Linked DNA regions of Oryctolagus cuniculus. The protein of the gene in region 3 interacts with the protein of the main gene of each other region in a biochemical or structural test. Links are inferred from orthologs where the notes say so. Each region holds a gene or a part of one and is shown on either strand. Other genes may lie near its edges. The genes, in order: JUP, PKP1 and DSG1.

Region 1 (3,644 bases), on a different chromosome or scaffold from region 3:
TGCATGGGACTTGCGCACTGGCCGACTTTGGTATCCACGAGGGTCCTGGGCCAGCCGCCCTTTGATATGAGGCACGTCTGTACCGTTCGTCTTCCCACTTCACAGATGGGAAAACAGCACAGAGAGGCAGCAAGGCCTGACAGGGAGCACAAGGCCCTACCTCCCTCTGCCCCCTTAACCACCAGCGCTGTGGTGCAGCGGGTTAACACCCTGGCCTGAAGCACTGGCATACCATTTGGGCATCAGTTCTAGTCCCAGCTGCTCCTCTTCTGATCCAGCTCTCTGCTATGGCCTGGGAAAGCAGTAGAAGATGGCCCAAGTCCTTGGGCCCCTGCACCCGTATGGGAGACCCGAAAGAAGCTCCTGGCTCCTGGCTTTGGATCGGCTCAGCTCCAGCCGCTGCAGCCATTTGGCGAGTGAAACAGCAGATGGAAGACCTCTCTCTGTCTCTACTTTCTCTGTAACTCTTTCAAATAAATAAAATAAATCTTAAAAAAACAAACAAACAAACAAAACACCAGGCAGGGGAAGGGATGAGACAGTCCAGGTTGCTTTTCGACCCTGAAACTTCGACCTTGTACTTCTAATTACACCCTCATCACTCCTGATGGCAGCGAGGCTCCCACCAGGCAGCCGGGGGCCCCCGAGAGCCACCGGCGGCACTCAGCAGCGGGCAGAGGGAGCCAGGGTGCTGGGAGGGCCCAGGAGTCCCACAGAAGTGCCCAGTGCACCCGGGGAGGGAGGCCGGGGCTCTGCACTGATTCGCTGGGAAGGAGGCGCCGTCTCCCCAGCTTTCCCGCTGGGCTGCTCTGCTGTCCGCTGCCAACACAGGGCCTGGGGCTGCTGAGCCCAGCGGCCTCTGCCTGTGGTCAGGATGCAGCCAGCCACGGACCCCACGGTCCTGAATGGTGGGTGACAGTCCCTGTGCCCAGCGACTCCTCTCCCCCAGGGGAGCCTGACCATGCCCCTGGCCATGGGGCAGGTGGGCTCTGCCCGTCGGTCTCCTTCCCTCAACAGGAGTCCCAGCCCTAGGGACCAACTGCGCTGCCTCCACCAGACTAAGGGCTCCCCAGAGCTGCAGCCCTGCCTCTCCCATCAAACCCAGGGCTCCTGGAGCAACAGGAAGTATCTCCCCTCCTCCATCCACGGGCTCCCAGAGGGCAGTGGGCGTGCCTCCCATCATGCCCTGAGGTTCAAAGAGGGTGAGGACTGAGCCTCCTCCTTCAGACTGGTGACCTTCCGAGGGCAGGGCTCAGAAAAGAGTGTGTGTGTTTCTCCCAGATGGGGCGCCCTTAGTGTGCCTCCTCCCTCTGACTAGGTGGGCCCCTATGAGCAGGAGCTGTACCTCCACGCCCAGACTACACAGGTGCCCAGAGAGGAGCCCCCTCCAACCTCCCTCTGTTGACTCGGCCCGCCCACCAGGGCCCGTGCCAGCCCCCAGAGCTCCCGACCTTGGCTCTGGGGCCCAGCCTGGGTGTAGGTGGTTGACTTCTTGACGGTGTACTGGCGCCCGCAGGCCTCCTCCTCCTCCATGATGCCCTTGCTGCTGACGGAGGGCACGCAGGTGTTGGCGCCCGAGTGGATGCCCGAGTCGTAGGTGTAGGTCTGCTGCCACTCGGTCACCTTGATCGGCTGCTCCATCAGGTTCATCACCTCCATGGTGGCTGCTGGGGCACAGATGAGGGCAGCCCGTGAGCTGGCCACCCAGCCCGTCTCCCCTCACCCCCACCATAGCCCCAGGGCTCTGGTGGGTCACAGGATGAGGCAGTGGGGAGAAGGGGGCAGAGAGCAACAGGGCACAGAGGGGCTTGCTGTGAGGAGACGCCTGGGGGACCTGTCGCGTGTGTGCCCCTGGCTTGCATCTCTGACCTCCAGCCCCGGGTGGGTGAACCAGGGAGTGGGCAGTACGGGGCCAGGCACTGGCCAAGCCTGGACTCCCTCACTTCGCTGCCCCAACCCACCCTCCTGGGAGCAGAAGGCACTCGGGCCTCCCCGGCTCCTCGTTTGGGCTCCCTGGGAAAGGCTGCGGAGGAGGCAAGGAGCGCACCCAGCACCCAGCACCCAGCACCCAGGCGCTGGAAGGAACACTGGGTGGGGCAGGAAGCAGTCAGACAGGTTTCTCCCGGGCGCCCCAGGCTCTCTCAGAGATTCCTGGATGTCACTTTCCTGCAGGTGGGGCAGGATCACGAGTGGTCCCAGCACCCCAGCCCCTGGGAGCTTCTCCCAGCACTGAGTGCCACAGACTGAGCCACCGACCCGACCCGACCACCGGGCAATTCTCAGCGCAGCCTCAGTGTCCCCCTCTGTGAAATGGGTCACACCGCCTCCTGGCACACAGGAGGGTGCTCAGGCCGTCACTCTCACCACCAGGAGCCCGGCCCTCCCTCAAAGACTCGGGGTCCCTTGAGGTTAATGAAGGCCAGGCCCTGCTGGGTGGCATGGAGGCAAACCTCCCACCGTCTTGGGAAGTGACCTGCCGAGGTCAGTGGCTGGGGGAAGGCACGAGAAGCTGGGACCCTGTGAGGATCTGCTCAGAGTCGGGCCCCCTGTGAATGTCACCATCCTCACAAGCCATTCTCAAAACACCATTCACAGATGTGGAAACTGAGGCTTGAAATGGCAGGGCCAGGCCCAGCCACAGGCTGAGTGGCCTTTGCACATTCCAGGGTGGTCTGCAGAGCAGGCAGACCCCAGGCTGGCCCACCCAGCAATGCTTGTCCACTGTGACAGGGAGACCACAGGGGGACAGGGCGAGGACAGGGGTGGGACGGGGAGGCTAGCGCAACCCGGCCGCACCCAGGAACAAAGAGCACAGGGGACAGGTCCTCCCAGTGACCGTCCCAGCGCCGCCCTCAAGGAGGACGACAAATGGCCCTCCAGGTCTGGCTGCCTTTTATGGCCACACGCACCCCTCCCCTGCTGGGAACACACCTGCAACAGGCAGAGGCAGGAGCCCCACCAGCCCCCAGCTGCCTCCTCCCCCCCCCCGCCCCCCTGAGTGACTCAGAGTTTCGGGCTGAAAACAGAAGCAGGCCCAGTGCACCATACGGCAGGCTTGGGCTGCCAGCTGCGTGCAGCTGCTGAGCCACTCCCCGAGCTCGGCTGTTCCACGAGGAGCCCTGACCGCCCCCCAACCACCGCCGCCGCCGCCAACAGCCCATCCTGGGCAGCAGACAAGGTCAAAGGCAGGAAATTGGGGGCTCCTCCTGCCTTCCCATCCTGCCCAGGGCCGGGTGGATCCCAGGAGAGCGCGGAGGGCCTGGGAGGGGGGAGCTGTCACAGAAGCCACCCCAGGGCAGGCGGAAGGCAGCAAACTGGACAGCCTGGCTCTGCAGAAGGGAGGGGAAACCGGAGCAGTAAACACAGCGGGTTAACCCTCGCTGCGCTGCCGTCTGCTCCGCTTGGGCCTCTCCGGCCCCAGTGACAAGCACCCCGTCCTCACCAGACAGCACCTAACTCCGGGGCTTCTCAGCCGGGCCACGGAGAAGAGGGCTCACCCCACACCACGGGGACCAGCCCCAGCCCGGAAGGGACTCCCATGGCCAAGGCTGCCCACCATGAAGCCCCTCAGGCCCAGCAGCCAGGGGCCGCTGAGGTCTGGACAGCTGCCCCTGGTAAGAGGCAGAGGAGCAGTCGGAGGTCAG
Region 2 (4,400 bases), on a different chromosome or scaffold from region 3:
ACCCCCAGGGCTCCTGGAGGGCTTTCCCCACCCTCAGGGAGACCACGTGTCCCCGCAAAGACTTCTGCCTGTGGTCACGTCCCCCTCGGCTTCCTCTGGCTTCCCACACAGTCACCTGGCTGCACACTGGGGCACCCTGAAAACACAGGGCAGTTCAAGGTGGTGGGCAGGTCCACAGCAGGCCCCTGAGGGTCCCCGCCCCCTCCCCGGGACTTGGGGAGCAGCCTGGGAGGGACAGGGGGCAGATGGGCCTTTGGGGGCCAGGCTGTTTCCACTTGGGTCCTTCCAGCCTGCAGGACTCAGATCCCTGCTGCAGCCAGGGTCAAAGGAAAGGCACTAGGATGCCGGGAACATGGGGACGGGCACCTGTGCGTGGGGCCAGGCTTCTTAATTAAGGGGGGCCCTGGGTAGGATTCAGGGGGCCCAAGAGGGTCAAGGACTCCAGAGAAGCCAGCTCCTTGCTTTTGGAGGAGACCAAAGGAGCATCCGCTTTTGTCCGGGGGACCCAGGAAATGGCCCGGGGCGTGACCCTTCCCCGGCTGCCAACGCCTCCCTCGCAGGAACCCAGCAGGCTGACGGCCGCAGAAAGCAAGAGCGAGAGGGGCAGAGTGAGTGGAGATGGCCACGGAGCAGGCAGGGGAGGCTTGGGCGTTTCTGATGGGGAGGACAGAGAAATCTGATGAAAACAAAGCCGGATAAACCAGAAACACCAGCGCCAAGCGACCGAACCGCCTCTTCCAGCTCGGGTGCAGCTGTGGAAACTGACACCCCTTGGGAACCTCCCCAGAGGCTGCAGGTAGGGGACACACAGCGACATCCACAGTCCTTGGACAGCTTCTGGAAGGGCAGGCATCAGAGTCAACCCAGGGACGCAGGGATCCAGGCCCCATCAGATGGACGTCACCCTCAAAGACCAAGGACAGAACAGCAACAGCCTGGCCTGGCTCGGACGTCCGGCCAGCATCCCCACGGAGGGCACAAGACAAAACATCCGGGGCACGTGGAGCAGATTTGGGACTTTCCTGGCGCTGTGAGCCAGGAGCTCAGGCTGCCGTGGAGTGGGAAGAGTGGCAATGGGTGGGCAGGTCTCACATAGGGGGCAGCAGGTGAGACTGAGCTATGCCCCCTACTGTAGCCAGACCTGCTTCCCAGAGAGGCTCGTCAGCAATTGTCAAGACAGGAAATCAAAGGAGAGGAGCCCAGAGCCCCGGCAGGGGCAGGGGCAAAGGGCACCGAGCAGCCAGGCCTTTAGGTCTGGGGGTGGGAGATCTGCCTCTCGCTTCTCTCAGCTGGGCCCAGAGGCAGCTCAGGAACGGAGGCAGAGGCCGAGAGAGGAGCTGGCAGGTGTGTGGCTGTGCCTACATGCGTGTGTGTGTGTGTGTGTGTGTGTGTGAGGCAGGGAGAACGGGCAGGGGTCTGTCTCCTTTGCTTCCTCCTCTGACTGTCCACTGCCCCTCCCTGTCTGCTAGTCACGGCTGACCTGTTCTGGTTCACAAAGGGTAGGGTCTTTGTTAACATTTTAAAATTGGTAAAATTAAGAAGTGGAAGAAACAAGTGTCCGCACTGGGGCCTGCTGCCTTGCGTGCAGTTCTTGCGCAGAAGTGTTGGCCGAAACGCTCCGCGCAAACGCCCCTGTTGGGACTGCCCCTCAGTTCCAGGGGTCCTGTGCCTTTCTCCAAGCCTCCCCCACCGGGAGACCATGTCACCCACAGAGGCGGGCACTCTGATTGTTATAGTGCCATGGTCGGCTCAGCCCAGGTCTCCGTGGACCTGGAGGGACCCCCTCCCAGCCGCCCTCGCTTCCCACTCTCCCCCATGAGCCCGTGGCTCTCCTGGAGCCGAGTGCCGCAGGGAGAATCTGTGGGAAGGGGGGTTCTGCCTTAGCTGTTGGGGAGCCCCTTGTCTTGGATCACTGCGGGGCAGCCTTGCCTCTTCCCGGCGGGAGGTCCCACGAGTCATCCCTGCTCCTGGTGCCACCTCCGATCCCCTCTTGCTCTCTCCTGAGTCCACACTCAGGCCTCCGTGACCCCCTCACCCCGCCCAGCTCAGCCCGAGCTTCCGGCGCTGGCGGCCCAGGACAGGTTCAGGGGCGCATCCAGAGCCTGGGAACTACGGAGGTGCCGGTAGTACACAGCCCTCCGGGAGCCGAGCGCCCTCTCCCCAGCCGTGCGGATCCAGGGTTCCAGCCCCAGACTCAGCCTCCCGGCGGCGGGCGGGAGACACGCTCCCGGCGCGGTCCCGGCGAGCCACCTAGCCGCGCCCACTCGCGCGCAGTAAAGCTCCTGCCGCGCCCCGCCGCGCCCCCGGTCGCCACGGCTGGGGACGCCCTGCTCGCGCGCGGGGCCGACAGCCCTGGGACTCCGCGACCCCTCGGTTGCCGCGGGCCGCACGGGCGCCGGGCCTTACCTCGGTTGGAGTGGCTCAGGGTGGACGACTGGGAAGACTTGGACTTCTGCCGCTTGACCGTCATCATCACCTGCTCCTGCACGCGCTGCCGGCCCGACGTGCCGGTCTTCATCTTCTGGTCGGACGGCAGGGCCAGCGTGGAGTTGTCCTGGTCCTGGAAGCACTCGTATGCCAGGGCGGTCTTGAGCGGCGAGTGGTTCATGGTGGCGGGAGGCGCGGGCCGGGCCGGGCGGGCAGAGAGGCGCAGGAGGGCGTGCGGCGCAGCGGGCGGCGGGAGCGTGCTCTTCTGGCTCTCAGCGGCTCCCTATGGCCATAGAGTGCGCGGTCTGCTTGAGGCTCCCGGCAGCTGCTCCTGGCGCCTCTACCCCCGGCTCGTCCCTCTGTGGCACTGGCGAGGCCCGCCCTCCGCCAGACAGGATATACCACCTCCAGCCTGCACCTCCCACTCGCCGGCTGCGCGCCGCCGCGCGCCCCGGACGCCCGCCGCAGGGCGCTGCCGCTGCCGGCCCAGCGCTCTTGGGGGCAGGGCTGCCAGTCCTCTGTGCCGGCCGCGGCGCGCTGCCGGCCGTTCCGCCTTTCCCTTCTCGCCCCACGACGGTGGAAAGCCCCAGGAGACGCCCCTAGTTCTGCCTCTGCAGGCCCTTGGAGCAAGCGCACCAAGGAGCCGGGGAGACCTGTTTTTCGGATGTCTTTCTTGACCAGGCACAGCGGAGGAGTCAGGTGCAGCTCCCTCCGCGCGGAGCTCATGCCAGGGGCCAGCCCACGGACGGCTCCTGCACGGAGAAGGGGCAGCCTGGGCTACTCTAGTGGGATAGGGGGGAAGGCCTTATGAAAGACCAGACGTGGGACACGGAACTACCAAGTGGCACTGGCCACTCTCCCGCATGCCCGTGAGCCCAGGCAAAACATTTCATGAACAGTGGGGCTTCTGTAAACGCAGAACCTGGTCCCTAAACCAATGCCCCAGGTACACAGAGAATTCACAGAAAATGCATACAATGAAAACAATCTATGCATGGGTTTCAAAATCATTTTGCTTTCAAACTTATCTCTAGGAGGTGTTTAAAGTCCCTTATATATCAGGGACCTGGGCATGAGCTGTTTGTGAATGGAGGGGTGGATGAAGGTTGGTTAATCTAGGATCAGTTAAGGCGAACCTGAATCCTACCCAGATCCTGGCTGGACAGCCTGAAGCTGCCTGGCCCCCTCCAAACTACATCCCTCTCCCACAGGAGGCTTTCTGTTCCAGGACTTTGGTGTGCTCTTCCTTGGCCTGCACTCCTGCCCCGGGGGTCACACAGGCAGGGACCCCTCTCATGGAGCACCCACCGTGGGTGTGGAGGGAGCCCACAGCAGGGACTTGGGTGCAACAGGGGCTGGGCATCTCCTAAGAGGCATCACACCTGCCCTGCTTCCTGACACAAGAGGGGCTGGCCACATGGGACTCACTTCTCTCTTTCAAAAAAAAAGATTTATTTATTTGAAAGGCAGAGAGAGAGAGAGAGGAGGTCTTCCATCTGCTGGTTCACTCCTCAAATGCCTTCAACAGCCAGGGCTGGGTCAGGCCAAAGCCAGGAGCCAGGAACTCCATCCTAGTCTCCCACACAGGTGACAGGGGCCCAAGCACTTGGGCCATCGTCCGCTGCCTCTCACGTGCAGTAGCAGGAAGCTGGATTGGGAGCTCACAGTAACCAGGACTTGGATGAGGCATCTGATACGGGATGTGGGGTCCTGCTGCCCCACAATGCCTGCCCCCGATGCACTTCTGCTCCTGGACCCCTTGGCTGTTCTGTGTAGAGTGAGGCCCCATCGCTGACCCACTTCGCCGGTTCCCACCTGCTGTGTGGTGCTGTCACAGCGGTCACCCTTGCTGCTGATGTCATAGCTGGGGTGCAGACTTCACTTAGGGACAACCAGAAATGAGAAGTGAATCCCAGGAAAGATCTGGAAGACGGGTGACCACGTCAAGGGCCACATGAAGGTCACCCACTCGC
Region 3 (3,644 bases):
GAGTGGGAGGGAAGTTATGGGGGGAAAAAGCCATTGTAATCTATTAACTGTACTTTGAAAATTTGTATTTACTAAATAAAAAAGAAATTAAAAAAAGAAATTCTTGAATCTAAAGATCAGAGTTAAATTATGACAACATTAGTAAAGTCCTTTAGAGGACAAGGTATTCCCTATTCTGGATCCAAGACTAGCACAAAGTGTGCAAATAATACAAGATGAAATTATAAATGTTGAATAAAAGAGTGATGACTGCATAGACTTAAATTTCCGAGGGTGGTATTATTTTTCTTGTTTGATAGCTACCATTGAAAATACTAGTTATACAATCACCATTGGAAATACTATAATTATTATACTTATCTAGGAAAGTAGTTTCTTATTTTCAACATTTCCCAGGTGACAATAGGTACAGCACTTTCACCAATTCTCACAAAAACAGCCGTCACACCCCAAATGCAGAACTCTTTATTTGCTCTCTGTGATGTTTGCAATTGTGTTCTTTCTGCAGATTCACTCAGACTGTGCTGCAAACCAGCAAGTAACATACCGCATCTCTGGAGTAGGAATTGATCAGCCACCTTATGGAATCTTCATCATTAATCAAAAAACCGGGGAAATTAATATAACATCCATAGTTGATCGAGAAGTCACCCCTTTTTTCATTGTAAGTGAATTTATTTCCATCTATATTCAGACGTAAGTTACTCTTGAGAAATCTGAAACTGAGCGCATTCTTGATTTGATTTCAGGAGTCAATAGTAGACATTTTTGACTCTTAATTCATGAGCATCCATAACCCAACAGAAACAAAGAGAAGATAAATAGAGAAAGGAGTGTTTTGCTGTTTCAGCAAAACTGCAAACCTCCAGTGGTCCCCATGACCAACTAGAGTGTTTGTTGGGAAAAACATTGCATTTTCTTTAATTCCCATTGAAATTGTTGTTGTTTTTTTTTTTTAACTTTAGTATCAAATAACAAATCCGGAGCTACTAAGGAATCTTTTCTGAGTGGACAAACTTTACTATAAATTCATGTTGCTTAAGTTCAGTTGAGCTCTGAATGTACTCTGGAAATTAATTTATTCTTAACTGAATCTCACTCCATTCTTTACAGGGGCTGTCACAAGGCTTAAGTATTCTCTCCCTCCAAACACACAAACTCATTCCACTTTAAGCAGCTGATCTTGGGCCCAACTACCTTAAGAAGGCTGAGACTATCCATCACAAATTCCCACAATTAATTCTCCTCAGCTCAGAATGCTTTTCAGTAAATCCAAATGCAGAACCAATTTTCAGCTTTTTCTCACGGCTTACCCTGAGCCATTGTCCCAGAATTACCTATTTCTTCAAGAATCTTGTTCCATCAAATTAGTCTGTTTCTCTCTTTTCTGCTTGCACTATTTCTACTTTCATGACCCTTGCTTCTTAATATTTGAAGTAAAAATAAAAATAATGATGGTCTTATTTGATCTTATAATTGCTTCTAGTAAAACTCCTCCATCTTTGGCTTAAAACACTTTCAAATAAGAATCTACTCTTGCTGCTTTCATTTCTGCTGCTGATCTGTGTTCCTGGATCTACTTTCATTCTTTAATCTTCAATTCCGTATCTATATTCCTATTTTGTCTTTCACAGTATTTGCCCGCAAACTATCTAAATTAGCAGGTCAGTTTAATAGTTCTCCTTGAGACCAATGTATTTTTATATACTACATATGTAAAATAGTGTATGCACTTAATGTATACTTGAAATATAAATAATTTGAACACAAAACCCATATAACAGCTACCTAGCTCAAGAATGATACATCTCTTGTATGCTCCCAAGAGATCCTCCTTTACCTAATTTTAAAACCCTCCCAACAGTTCCTATTCCTAATTTCAAAAGTTGTGTTTGTATCATTCTTTCTTTCCTTATATGACTCTCTTTGCTTGGAACACCTCACCAATTCCCAGTCCCACTTACTGAAATTCCTTGAGACCTACTTCAATCTTTACACCCTCTGACAGCTCATAGTATTTTGTGTTATTATTTTGTATATATTATTGTAACTTATAACGTTACCTTTTCTTAAAATATATTTTGTGTTTGTATTTGCCATCTCTTATTGATTATAAATGCTACTTATGCCTAATTTCTAGTAGCAAATAATAACATCTTTCTTTTAACTTCCCACAGTGCCTAGCAAGCTAGAACTCAATATGTGTTTCAACATCTAATTATTCCTCTTTTCTCTCCTAGATCTACTGCCGGGCTCTAAACTCGCAAGGCCAGGATCTGGAGCGGCCTCTGGAACTCCGAGTCAGGGTTTTGGATATAAATGACAACCCTCCAGTATTTTCAATGACTACATTTCTAGGACAAATAGAAGAAAATTCTAATGCAAGTAAGTAATATAAGTACCCTATCAAGCACTCTTCCAGATACTCAGGAAATTAGAAGTCAAACTATATAAAGGTGTACTTGTAGATGTGAAGATAAGTTACAGAACAGCATGCAGAATAGAAAGTCTTTCCTTCCTTAAAAAAATTATTTATTTTGAAATTCAGAGTTAAAGAGAAAGAGAGAGAGAGATCTTCCATCCTCTAGTTTACTCCTCGGATGGCCACAATAGCCAGCACTGGGTCAGTATGGAGCCAGGAGCCAAGAGCTTCATCTGGGTGTACCATATTGGTGGCAGAAGCCCAAACACTTGGACCATCTCTCGTTGCTTTTCCCAGGCCATTAGCAGGGCACTGGAATGGAAGTTGAGCAGCCAAATACAAACCAGGGCCCACATGAGATGCTGGCATCGAAGGCAGCAGCTTGACCTACTACACCACAGTGCCAGACCCAGAAAGCTTTCTCCTCAGCTACAGGGGCAGATCCAATCTGTTACACACAAGGAGCAACTCTGAACAATGAGGAGGTTTTTCTCATGTAATTCGTATCCTACCACTGTAGGAGATTCCCAACAGGAAATTCCCATTGTAGTTTACACAGGGGCAGCAGGGGCACTTGGATGAGAATTTAGCTTCCCAATGAGATTGCTGCCCATTCTTACCCACTTCTGCTCATACTGATTTTTTTCAACTTAACTACTTTAAAGTCACTCAATCATAGAAATCACTTCAATACAATCTATTTTGTCATCAAGAGCTTTTGCAAAACAGTATTTTCCCCTTCTTATATATGACCTAATAAGTATTGGCATCCATTGGGCGTTTGTCCCAGCACCTCCAGCAAATACTACAATCTAGGTGTTCAAATTCCTTATATAAAATGGCATAGTATTTGCATCCAAATTATACAAATCTCACCATATACTTTACATCATCTCTATATGACTTATAATATGTAATACCACGTGAATCTTCTATAAATAGTTGTTATACTGTATTGCTTAGAGAATAATGGCCATAAATGTATGTACATGTGCAGTAGTTTCAGTCCATAGTTAGGTTAAATTTAGTGATGCAAAACCTGAAAATGGAGAAGGCAGGTCATATAGATTTTGTTGGTTTTTTACTCATCATTGATTTTATGTGTTTTAAGTCATTATGCATCTAATTCTATTTGGTCCACTAGGCATATTTAAAGCCAGTTGTCCTAAGTGGTGCTAGCAGAGGATTCCAAAAAAGCCATAGCTTCAGAGCCTTTGCCTGA

Evidence for each region.
Region 1: the proteins of DSG1 (region 3) and JUP form a complex in vitro, tested with the Homo sapiens proteins (2 studies listed by BioGRID and IntAct). The link is inferred for Oryctolagus cuniculus from reciprocal best matches to the Homo sapiens genes DSG1 and JUP.
Region 2: the proteins of DSG1 (region 3) and PKP1 form a complex in vitro, tested with the Homo sapiens proteins (2 studies listed by BioGRID and IntAct). The link is inferred for Oryctolagus cuniculus from reciprocal best matches to the Homo sapiens genes DSG1 and PKP1.

The regions. Positions count from the first base shown.
Region 1 is NC_091448.1:20,934,430-20,938,073, reverse strand, and holds part of JUP (junction plakoglobin), read right to left. Parts: intron 1,668-3,644; 5' UTR 1,660-1,667; coding exon 1,452-1,659; intron 1-1,451. UniProt on the Homo sapiens protein: Common junctional plaque protein. The membrane-associated plaques are architectural elements in an important strategic position to influence the arrangement and function of both the cytoskeleton and the cells within the tissue.
Region 2 is NC_091444.1:17,300,307-17,304,706, reverse strand, and holds the start of PKP1 (plakophilin-1), read right to left. Parts: upstream 2,826-4,400; 5' UTR 2,609-2,825; coding exon 2,407-2,608; intron 1-2,406. UniProt on the Homo sapiens protein: A component of desmosome cell-cell junctions which are required for positive regulation of cellular adhesion.
Region 3 is NC_091441.1:46,347,045-46,350,688, reverse strand, and holds part of DSG1 (desmoglein-1), read left to right. Parts: intron 1-508; coding exon 509-664; intron 665-2,240; coding exon 2,241-2,385; intron 2,386-3,644. UniProt on the Homo sapiens protein: Component of intercellular desmosome junctions. Involved in the interaction of plaque proteins and intermediate filaments mediating cell-cell adhesion.